2 linked regions of the Anolis sagrei genome follow. Each later gene encodes a partner of the first gene's protein in a complex. Links are inferred from orthologs where the notes say so. Each region holds a gene or a part of one and is shown in the gene's direction. Other genes may lie near its edges.

What was found. The genes of interacting proteins can lie anywhere in the genome.
Region 2: the proteins of TNFSF13B (region 1) and tumor necrosis factor receptor superfamily member 13C-like are in contact, whole or in part, in a crystal structure (PDB 1OQE), measured with the Homo sapiens proteins. The link is inferred for Anolis sagrei from reciprocal best matches to the Homo sapiens genes TNFSF13B and TNFRSF13C. Residues at the interface, in NP_006564.1 of Homo sapiens: Ser162, Tyr163, Asp203, Thr205, Tyr206, Ala207, Met208, Gly209, His210, Leu211, Thr228, Arg231, Cys232, Ile233, Pro264, Arg265, Glu266, Asn267, Ala268; in NP_443177.1 of Homo sapiens: Asp26, Leu27, Leu28, Val29, Arg30, Val33, Leu37, Leu38, Arg39, Pro41, Arg42.

What each region holds. Positions count from the first base shown.
Region 1 is NC_090021.1:150,059,099-150,063,750, reverse strand, and holds the start of TNFSF13B (tumor necrosis factor ligand superfamily member 13B), read left to right. Parts: upstream 1-1,770; 5' UTR 1,771-2,545; coding exon 2,546-2,968; intron 2,969-3,057; coding exon 3,058-3,145; intron 3,146-4,652. UniProt on the Homo sapiens protein: Cytokine that binds to TNFRSF13B/TACI and TNFRSF17/BCMA. TNFSF13/APRIL binds to the same 2 receptors. Together, they form a 2 ligands -2 receptors pathway involved in the stimulation of B- and T-cell function and the regulation of humoral immunity.
Region 2 is NC_090025.1:160,896,385-160,901,036, forward strand, and holds the start of tumor necrosis factor receptor superfamily member 13C-like, read left to right. Parts: upstream 1-1,887; 5' UTR 1,888-2,015; coding exon 2,016-2,148; intron 2,149-4,652. UniProt on the Homo sapiens protein: B-cell receptor specific for TNFSF13B/TALL1/BAFF/BLyS. Promotes the survival of mature B-cells and the B-cell response.

The sequences.
Region 1 (4,652 bases):
TGGCAATAGTTCTATTCTGCCTCCTCTACAGGCATGTTCCAGTGGCCTTGGTTTTTTCTATTCTGTCACAGTAATAGCAGTGGGCCTTCTACTTTACATTCTTTTCCTTCATCTTCTAATTTCCCTATTTGGCAGCTTCAAATGTTAAAAAGCAATGCTTTTCGATTTGGAGAGATTAGACGTTTACAAGAAACATTGCCTGGGGGGCGCCCGACTGTATTTACTCAGTCTTCGAGGAGGCTCTTTCCATGTCCCCCAAGCTAGCTGGCATTGTCCCCCCTGATGTGCGATGGGAAGTTGATGCTAAATGTGAGAGAAATAAGGTTGAACACTGTGAAAGCCACCCACTACATGGCTACCAACCTCCTCCCAGCAGACTCAAATCAAGGAAAAGCTTTATGAGAACTACCACTCCTCTTGGCGTCCCCCCAGCAACAGCAAGGGTATCCCTCTGGGCAGCTAAACCAGGAAATCCCAACTGTATGTCCCTCCACGAGGGTCTTCCAGGGGCAAACCAAGAATGGGCAACTTGGAAGTCCCTGAATAGACTCGGAAGCAGAGTGGGCAGATCAAAAGACAACCTGGCAAAATGGCACTACCTAAAAGAATTCCAAACCTTGTGTGACTGTGGAGCAGAACAGACAACTCCGCATCTGTATGCTTGTCCACTGTGCCCTGCCTCATGTATAGAGGAGGAATTGCTGGAGGCAACAGAGAATACTGTTGCCCGTTTTTGGTCAAAAGATATTTAGCCACCTGCGCGCCTTCTATTTTTATTAGTTTTTTACTAATTTATGCAATGCTTTTGATACAAAATAAATAAATAAACTTGGCAGCTATTTTGCCCTCTTTCTAGGAAGAGACAGAAGAAATGTTAGAAACTTGCTCTACAGATGTGAGGCCTATGACCATGTTATTGATGTGGAGCCTGTGGCTTTTCAGACTCTTCAAGTTCTACTTCCAGAGTGAACAAAAGGTAACCCTCCCCTCTCTTATGAAAGTGGGCATTTGTTGGGAAAACCTATCACGGCTTCTTCTTCCAACAAGAGAGGGAAGGCAAAAAGCTAGATAGGATGGGACAAGAAATAAGATTGGTTCACCTTCCACTTGAGGGATATATACAATTTTAAAATCTTTGATTTGTTATTCATAGCAAATATTTATTGAAGGTTTTCCCATTCAGCCTCTCAACATTCAACAAGGTGAGGTCAATAGTGATGGTACACCTCAGGCAGCAGAAGGCTTCTCATCTTTCTCTATTTTGAGAGTTGGTTGCTGGTCTCAAAATCTAGACTTGCGCTTGTATGCATCACCAGCTTCTTTCTCTACCTCCCCAACAATCTTGGCCTGTGCATCAACTGCCAAAAAATCCCAATTGACACCGACAGAAGACATTCTCTTCCATCTCCAAACTTTCCTTTTTAATATGATCAATTGCTTTATTAGGCCATTTGTTGTTGATGATGGCTACAGTTCCATTTGCATGTATTCATATGAGATCAGTCAAGTTATATAATTGCTATGCAAAGTGGACATGACAGCACTGGAATATTCCTGTATCTTTAGCAGCAGCATCAATAAGAGACAAACTCATCAGGTAGATACATTAGTGTATCTCATACAGGACATGCCCTTTTTCATCATGACAAGCCACGGCTGCCTTTACAGGGTGAAGAGTCTTATATCTCATTACAGAGTATAAGGCAGGTGATCTGCTGTGGAGCAGGATCTGCACATCAATGCTTTAGATGATGCGCATCAATGTTCCAGATGATGGAACCTGAAATCAAAAACATTTGGTACTAGACATCTTAAGCATTCTTGCTTCACATAACTAAAATCTAAAAGGGTGATATGAAGTTGGAACTGTGTGATCTAATGCTGAAACGTGTTTTGATGAACATTTTCCTGATAACTATGAATAAAGGGCATACAAAGACTAGATAAAATGCCATGTTGTCCTTGTCTCCATGGGCAATAGTATGGGATTATGGTATACAAATAAGGAAATAGGAATCTGCACTTACACTCTGGCATCTCTAGCACTGGACCTATCATGTAACTGACACAGAGAACACCCTAAAAAACACCCATGCAGGTCATCTAATGGATATTATACTCAATACTTTGGGAAAGTGTTTATTTTACCTCCCACCAGAATGCTCGAGGCAGGGATTTGAGTGATCCGGATGTCCCCTGGGCAATGTCCTTAAAGATGGCCAATTCGCTTACACCAGAAATGACTTTCACTTTCTCAAGTTGTTCCTGACATGGAAAAAAATCCCAATGTGATAAGGTCCCTGTTTAGTTTCTGTTTGGAGTAATAGCCTTTTCAGTGGCTACTCCCACCCTCTGGAATGACAAAAGAGGCAAGTATATGTTATCCTTTCTGCTTTGCCATGTTTGAATCAAAGGGCAAAACAATCCAAATTGCACAAATTGCACAAAACAGTTGGGCTAGCCACTTATAAAATGAATCTGAAACTGAAATGAGGAAGGTGTGTAGAGGAACAAAGCCACAAATTGTACAGTCGCACAACATTTAATGCTTTTATCAACAGGCCCATATAACAGGAAGTATATGTTGGCTGCACATTGTGGATGCAGCTGGCCAACTGGATCAATTCTTTGGAGTGAGAAACACCTGGCTTTCAAGACAGGAGTCAAGATGTTAATGGGTCACCGGCGAGGAAAGAGCAACCCCTCCCCTTCAGCATATGGTTCTAAGTACAAAGGGCTCTTGCTGATCTTGCTAGGGCTTGCAGTGCTTGTGTCTTCTTGTCTTGCAGCGGTCTCACTTTACTATGTTACTGTCTTGAAAACGGAACTAACCATTCTGACTAGCAAGCTAAACTCCAGAGTCCAAGCACGGCTTCCATCCTCACTGTCCTTGGGGTCTCTGGAGAAAAGGAAAGAGGCCAGTCCGTTCCTTCCCCACTGGAAGAAGTCGGAAGGTTCTACGAGCCAGGTGCGTTGTAAGGCTTCAGGGGGAGGTATTTGGATAGAGAAAAACTGGAATTGCAGCCTTAATGTATTGTGTTCTCATGCCATTGGTAGGGGGCTGCTTTCAGACCACATCCAAGTAGCCAAGAGGCCATGCGGAATGGAGAGCAACACAGGAAGAAAAGGTCTTCAGGTGAAACAGGTGAGAGATCTGGACAGAGAGGCCAGGTATGAGCTATTGGGAAACTGCCAAGGAAAGGGAATAAGAACTAACAAAGTGGTAGAGATTTGATTTGTTGAGATAACTGTACTTACTTTGTTTGGAGAGTGAAAAGGACCCAAAAATTGTGACAATCTGTATCTGGCAACTCTATTTGAAACACCGGCACAGTCTTGTGGTTTGCTACAGCTTTTTCCTTTGTCGAAAATGGGCAATCTGTTAAATTACACACATTCAGATATATCAAAATGCTTTATATAGAAACATTGGCTAAAACTGCACACCCTGTACAGTAAGTACCTGCTGCATTACTGTCTTAATTGTATTTTTCCTTTATTGCCATTACCATCATATGCTGGAAAGGTAGAACAGAAATGCAAGACTTAAATAATGGCTACTTTGATCAGTTGTAGGATATAACTATTGATCTACAGAAAGATATACCTGAAGACGTATGTGTGTCGCTATAACCATAAGCGCTGTTGAAAGAGAGTATATGCCATGTGTTTATCGACAACACATAGATTAGAAATATTTTATAAAGTGGCACAGTCCTTTGTTTTAGTCCAGCATGGTCTGTTACTCCAAACAAGCTGTTAGGCCAGAGAAATAGGGAGCATTGCTATGCTATGCCAGGCTGGTTCGTGGTGAATTTATTTGGTCTTAATGATCAAAATAATTAGATAATATTGAAGTCTAGGAACACTGCTACCACTGCTACCATTACGAAGTGTAACTGCTTTTCTGAATAATCAGGAACAGGGTCTGAGCTACTCTAGCACCCATCTCTTCTAAGGTTTCCGTAGAGGGAAAAACACCAGTCATTACATCTCTCCTGACACACAAGCAGAGAGAGATCTCAAAGCACACAGCACATACTCTCCATACTAAAGTGTCAGATTCAAAAAGGTATGCAGTGGAAAAATATCCATTTTAAACAACCAATCAGAAGGCGAGCAGAAACAGAGAGGAGAGAAGAAAAAAATACATTCCCAACTGTCATTCCGGAGACATGGTGGAAGGGAAACCCTTAGTCTATACCAGGGGTCCTCAAACTTTTTAAACAGAGGGCCAGGTCACAGTCCCTCAAACCGTTGGAGGGCCCGGATTATAATTTGAAAAAACCCATTAATAATAATAATAATAATAATAATAATAATAATAATAATAATCTTTATTTATACCCCACCACCATCTCCCCTATGGGGACAAGCCCAGACAACATGTTACAGCAAAATAAAACCAAAACATAAACAACAAGCAACGTCATCAAAATTACATAGAAAAAAAAGATATAAATACAGTAACAAAATAACATTACAATAAACACAATTGTGGTAACAGTGAATGAATTCCTATGCACACTGCACATATTTGTAGTGCAAAAAACCCCACTTAAAAACAATACAATAATTAAAATGAAGAACAATTTTAACAAATATAAACTTATTAGTATTTCAATGGGAAGTGTGGGCCTGCTTTTGGCTGA
Region 2 (4,652 bases), on another chromosome or scaffold:
TAGTTGGGAATGGGATCTTAAAAATAGCTAATGTCAAACTTCAGAAGACTCCCTGATTCCATCTACCAACCTCTTCCTCCTGCATCTGATGTCTAAACTGTGATTAATATTAGCCCAAGCTTAAGGGACAGGGTCCAGTACTCCTGGAAAGTCTGGGCACAGATCACTAACCCACTAACATGGAAGCCAATATCTCAGCAAACTAATTGCTTCAGAACACTGTTGATGTATCAGGCCACTGATTAGTTTTACTTTCTTTTCAAAATTAATTTTTTAAAAATCTTTTAGCCAGCATAGGCAAAATCTGGAAATTAAAGTTCAAGAATGTATTGTCAAAGGCTTTCATGGTTGGAATCACTGTGATGTTGTGTGGATTCTGGGCTGTATTACTTTTACTTACGGAAGCAATCCCTTGTAGTCTGAGGATGATGGCCCTCCAAGTTTAGTGACTTAGTGGTGAATATGTAGGTGGCTGTGGAGATCTATTCTTGATCTGCAGGATCAGCTTGATGCGCTTTTCTCTTAGCACATTGCTCCCTTTCAGCCTCCATTCATGCCTCTTCAAATTCCACAGCACTGCTGGTCACAGCTGATCTCCAGTAGGAGCGCTCAAGGGCCAGGACTTCCCAGTTCTCAGTGTCAATGCCACAGTTTTAAGCTTCAATCCCATTTTTAAATCTCTTTTCCTGTCCACCAACATTCCATTTCCTTTTCTTGAGTTGGGAGTAGAGTAACCGCTTTGGGAGATGGTGACTGGGCATTTGGACAATATAGCCAGTCCAGCAGAGTTGATTGCATAGGAGCATCACTTCAATGCTGGTGGTCTTTGCTTCTTCCAGCACACTGACATTTGTCCGCCTGTCTTTCCAAGAGATTTGCAGGATTTTTTGGAGGCAACACTGATGGAATCATTCCAGGAGTTGAGTGTGACGTCTGTAGACAGTCCCCGTTTCGCATGCGTATAGCAGGGTTGGGAGGACAATAGCTTTATAAACAAGCACCTTGGTATCCCTATGGATGTCCGGATCCTCAAACACTCTCTGCTTCATTCAGGCTGTATGGCCATGCTCTAACAGCATTTTCTCCTTACGTTTCACCTGCATCTGTGGCTCGCATCTTCAGAAGAGCTGGTGGTAATCAAGCAAGTGGGGTATATCTACCCATGGAATGTCCAAAGTGGGAGGCAAGAACCATCATATGTTAAACAAGTGTAAGGAGTGCAATTAGCAAGCTAGATTTTAATGTCTTGGGTGGGATTCACCCATTAGCATGTGAGTAGGACATCTGCATGGAAGTCACCTGGCCTTTGTTCCCTTTGAATTGTTTGCTGCCTAGAAACATCCTTTGCCTGGGTGGTGTGTACTGGGCCTTAATTGCTTACTACCTGGAGTCCTCCTGTGTCAGTGGTGTTCTTTATTTACTATTATAATTTTAGAGGTTTTTTAAATACTGGTAGCCAAATTTTGTTCATTTTCATGGTTTCTTCCTTTCTGTTGAAATTGTCCATGTGCTTGTGGATTTCAAAGGCTTCATTGTATTGTTTGATATAGTGGTTGTCAAATTAGTCTAGAATTTCCTTGTTCTCAAATAATATTCTATGCCCAGCTTTGTTTATCATGTGTTCTGCTATTGCTGATTTTTCTGGTTGAATCTGTCTGCAGTGTTTAAGAACATTCCCAGTCTTGGAATGCTTCTCACAGCAAGGCTCTACATCAAAGACTGTGGAAGTCACAAGAAACGGAATATATTGTGCTGCATCACTTTCACATGGGTTTTGCTGCAAAACAATGTAGGGATGCTTGGGGAGGCTCAGGATGAGGAGGGGTTGCTCATGCAAATCTGCCCTTGCTACCCTTCGGGGCCTCTGGGAGGAAATGAGACCTCAAGAGTGTTGAATCTGCTGAGGCCTTAAGGTTCAGCGGTTCAGAGATTTCTCCTTTGGGCAAAATTTGTATCGTTAGCTCTTTAGTTCATCTTCCTAAACTGTTCTTTAAAAGAAAACAAGACTCTCAGCCATGAGGAAGAAGAGAAGCAGCCACTCCAGTCCCAACACCACCTGCCATCACCATAGCCTATGCTACGACCGTCTGATTGAAAAATGTATCAGCTGCAAAGTGATGCAGAGAGGAGGCACCGAGAAGGAGACAAGTAAGTGAGAAAAACAATTTTCATGGCTGATGGGAAAAAGGAGAGGGAACTGGGATCTTCAAGGGATAGGAAAAGCTAGAACTAGATCCTGTAGTAGTAGGAAGAGATGTCAACAATTGGCTGAGACCCATGAAAGGAACCAGGAAAGGAGTAAGAGGGAGGAACACCGCTTTTACCAAAGGAAGTATGCCAGTGGGCAATGATGATGCTACTCTTATGGGATTGACTTCACTGCTTTAGCAATCTCTTCCCTTTCAGTCTCAGTTTCCTATTTGTAAAGCAAGCATTCAGTTAAAAGGGGCAAATAAGAAAAAATCAATTGCGTGGTTCTCAAGGTAAGGAAATAGAGCAAACGAGGACTTATCTCCCATCCATGGGTATTCCCCAGTAAAATACACAGAAAACTATTCTGCTGTGAATTTTTAGTGAATTTTTCTCATGGATGGACTATGGACAATATCTATGCAAAGCTTGGGAGTCTTACATTTACTGTGTAAATAAAGGAGATTATCTGGTTCTGCTATGATTAGGTTCCACTGTTTCCGCTTTAGAGTAAGATGAATACATTATACCTCAAAGTGCTCAGTTATGCAAGGCACTTACAACTATTTCCCAGTAAACCTAGTGCATAACAGACATGCTCAAACTTTGGCCCCTCAGGTGTTTTGGACTTCAACTCCCACAATTCCTAATAGTCTACAAACTAAGTTCTTGTGGGTTTTTTCGGGCTATATGGCCATGTTTTAGAGGCATTTCTCCTGACGTTTTGCCTGCATCTATGGCAAGCATCCTCAGAGGTGAGGTCTGTTGGAACTGGGAAAAAGGGGTTTATATAAAAGGGATATATAAACCCCTTTTTCCCAGTTCCAACAGACCTCACCTCTGAGGATGCTTGCCATAGATGCAGGCGAAACGTCAGGAGAAATACCTCTAGAACATGGCCATATAGCCCGAAAAAACCCACAATAACTTAGTGATTCCAGCCATGAAAGCCTTCGACAATACAGTCTACAAACTGTTCAGAATTGTGGGAGTTGAAGTCCAAAACACTCGGAGGGCCAAAGTTTGCCCATGACTGGTATAACAGAATTAGAAGGGCTTTCTCCCAGTCCCACAATCATCACATGGCCAACTGGTGAGGACATGGGAGAGAGAATTCTCTAGGTTGTCCCCTTCTCTGCTATCCTTTTTGCAGGCAGGAAAAAAACCCATTTTATTTATTATTATTTATTATTATTTAGAGCTTTTATAACCCGGTCTTCTCGACCTCCGAAGAGGGACTCAGGCTGGCTAACAACAGGAAATTCATATACAGATAAGCTAAAACATAATAACATCATAGTACATTAATACATTACAATACATTAAAATACAGATCAAATAGCCAAGTCGTCAAGGTAATCACAAATTCATCATCATCCGCCCATGTGGTCAGCAGTTATTGACTCGATCATAATTCTGAGAATGCTATGTTCCAAAGCCAAGATTTTACAAGCTTTCTGAAAGTCAGGAGGGAAGGGGCAGATCTGATCTCCATCGGGAGGATTTGACAATTAATTTCTTGTGCAGAAGGGACTTTTTCTTGGAAAGAGGTACCGTATATTCCGGCATATAAGATGACTGGGCGTATAAGACGACCCCCAACTTTTCCAGTTAAAATATAGAGTTAAGACGACTCCCATGCATAAGACTACACCTGCGTATAAGACAACCCCTGACTTTTGCAAAGATTTTCTTGGGTTAAAAAGTAGTCTTATACGCCAGAATATACTGTACTTTTTATCTTTATCATGATCTTAAATGATGCTTTTCAAATTAATGGCGTTTTGATATGGTAGTTTGTTTAGTTATGTTTGAAAATTTTATCAACAACTTTTTAGCTTTGTCTTTTCTTGCAGTAAGTTACATTGGGTCCCATGCTGAAGGAAAGATGTTTGGTTCCAGGACTTTCCCCTCCATCATGGATAGCAAAATCCATGGATGCTCAAATTCCATATGTACAATGGTATAGTAAAATGGTGACCAATATATAAAATGGCAACATTGATGTTTGATTTTCAGAGTTGTGATTTTTAAAAATATTTCCAAGACTTGGATGCAGAATCCATGGATAATTTTCTACCCAGGGATCCTCCACTGGCCACATAGGCTGCCAAAAAAGAAAAAGGAAAGAGAAGTGGATATGAAGGATTGGAAAGCTACACTCGATTTTAAAGGTCTCTGTCTGCTCCTGGAGAGTTCCAGGAGGAACAATTTACCTTTTTCCTGCCTGAAAGGAAGGTTCAGGAGCAGACACAGCTTACAGAAACAGTTTTAGGGAGCTCCCTGCAAGCCTATGGACACAATTTGCCCACCTCCAAGGCCCCTTCTACACTACCATATAAAATCCAGATTATCTGTAGACTCCTATAATCCAGTTCAAAGCAGATAAGGTGGATATATGGCAGTGTCAAAGGCAACTGAAATACATAGTAGTGGGCTAGTTGGACTAATTATATGATTTC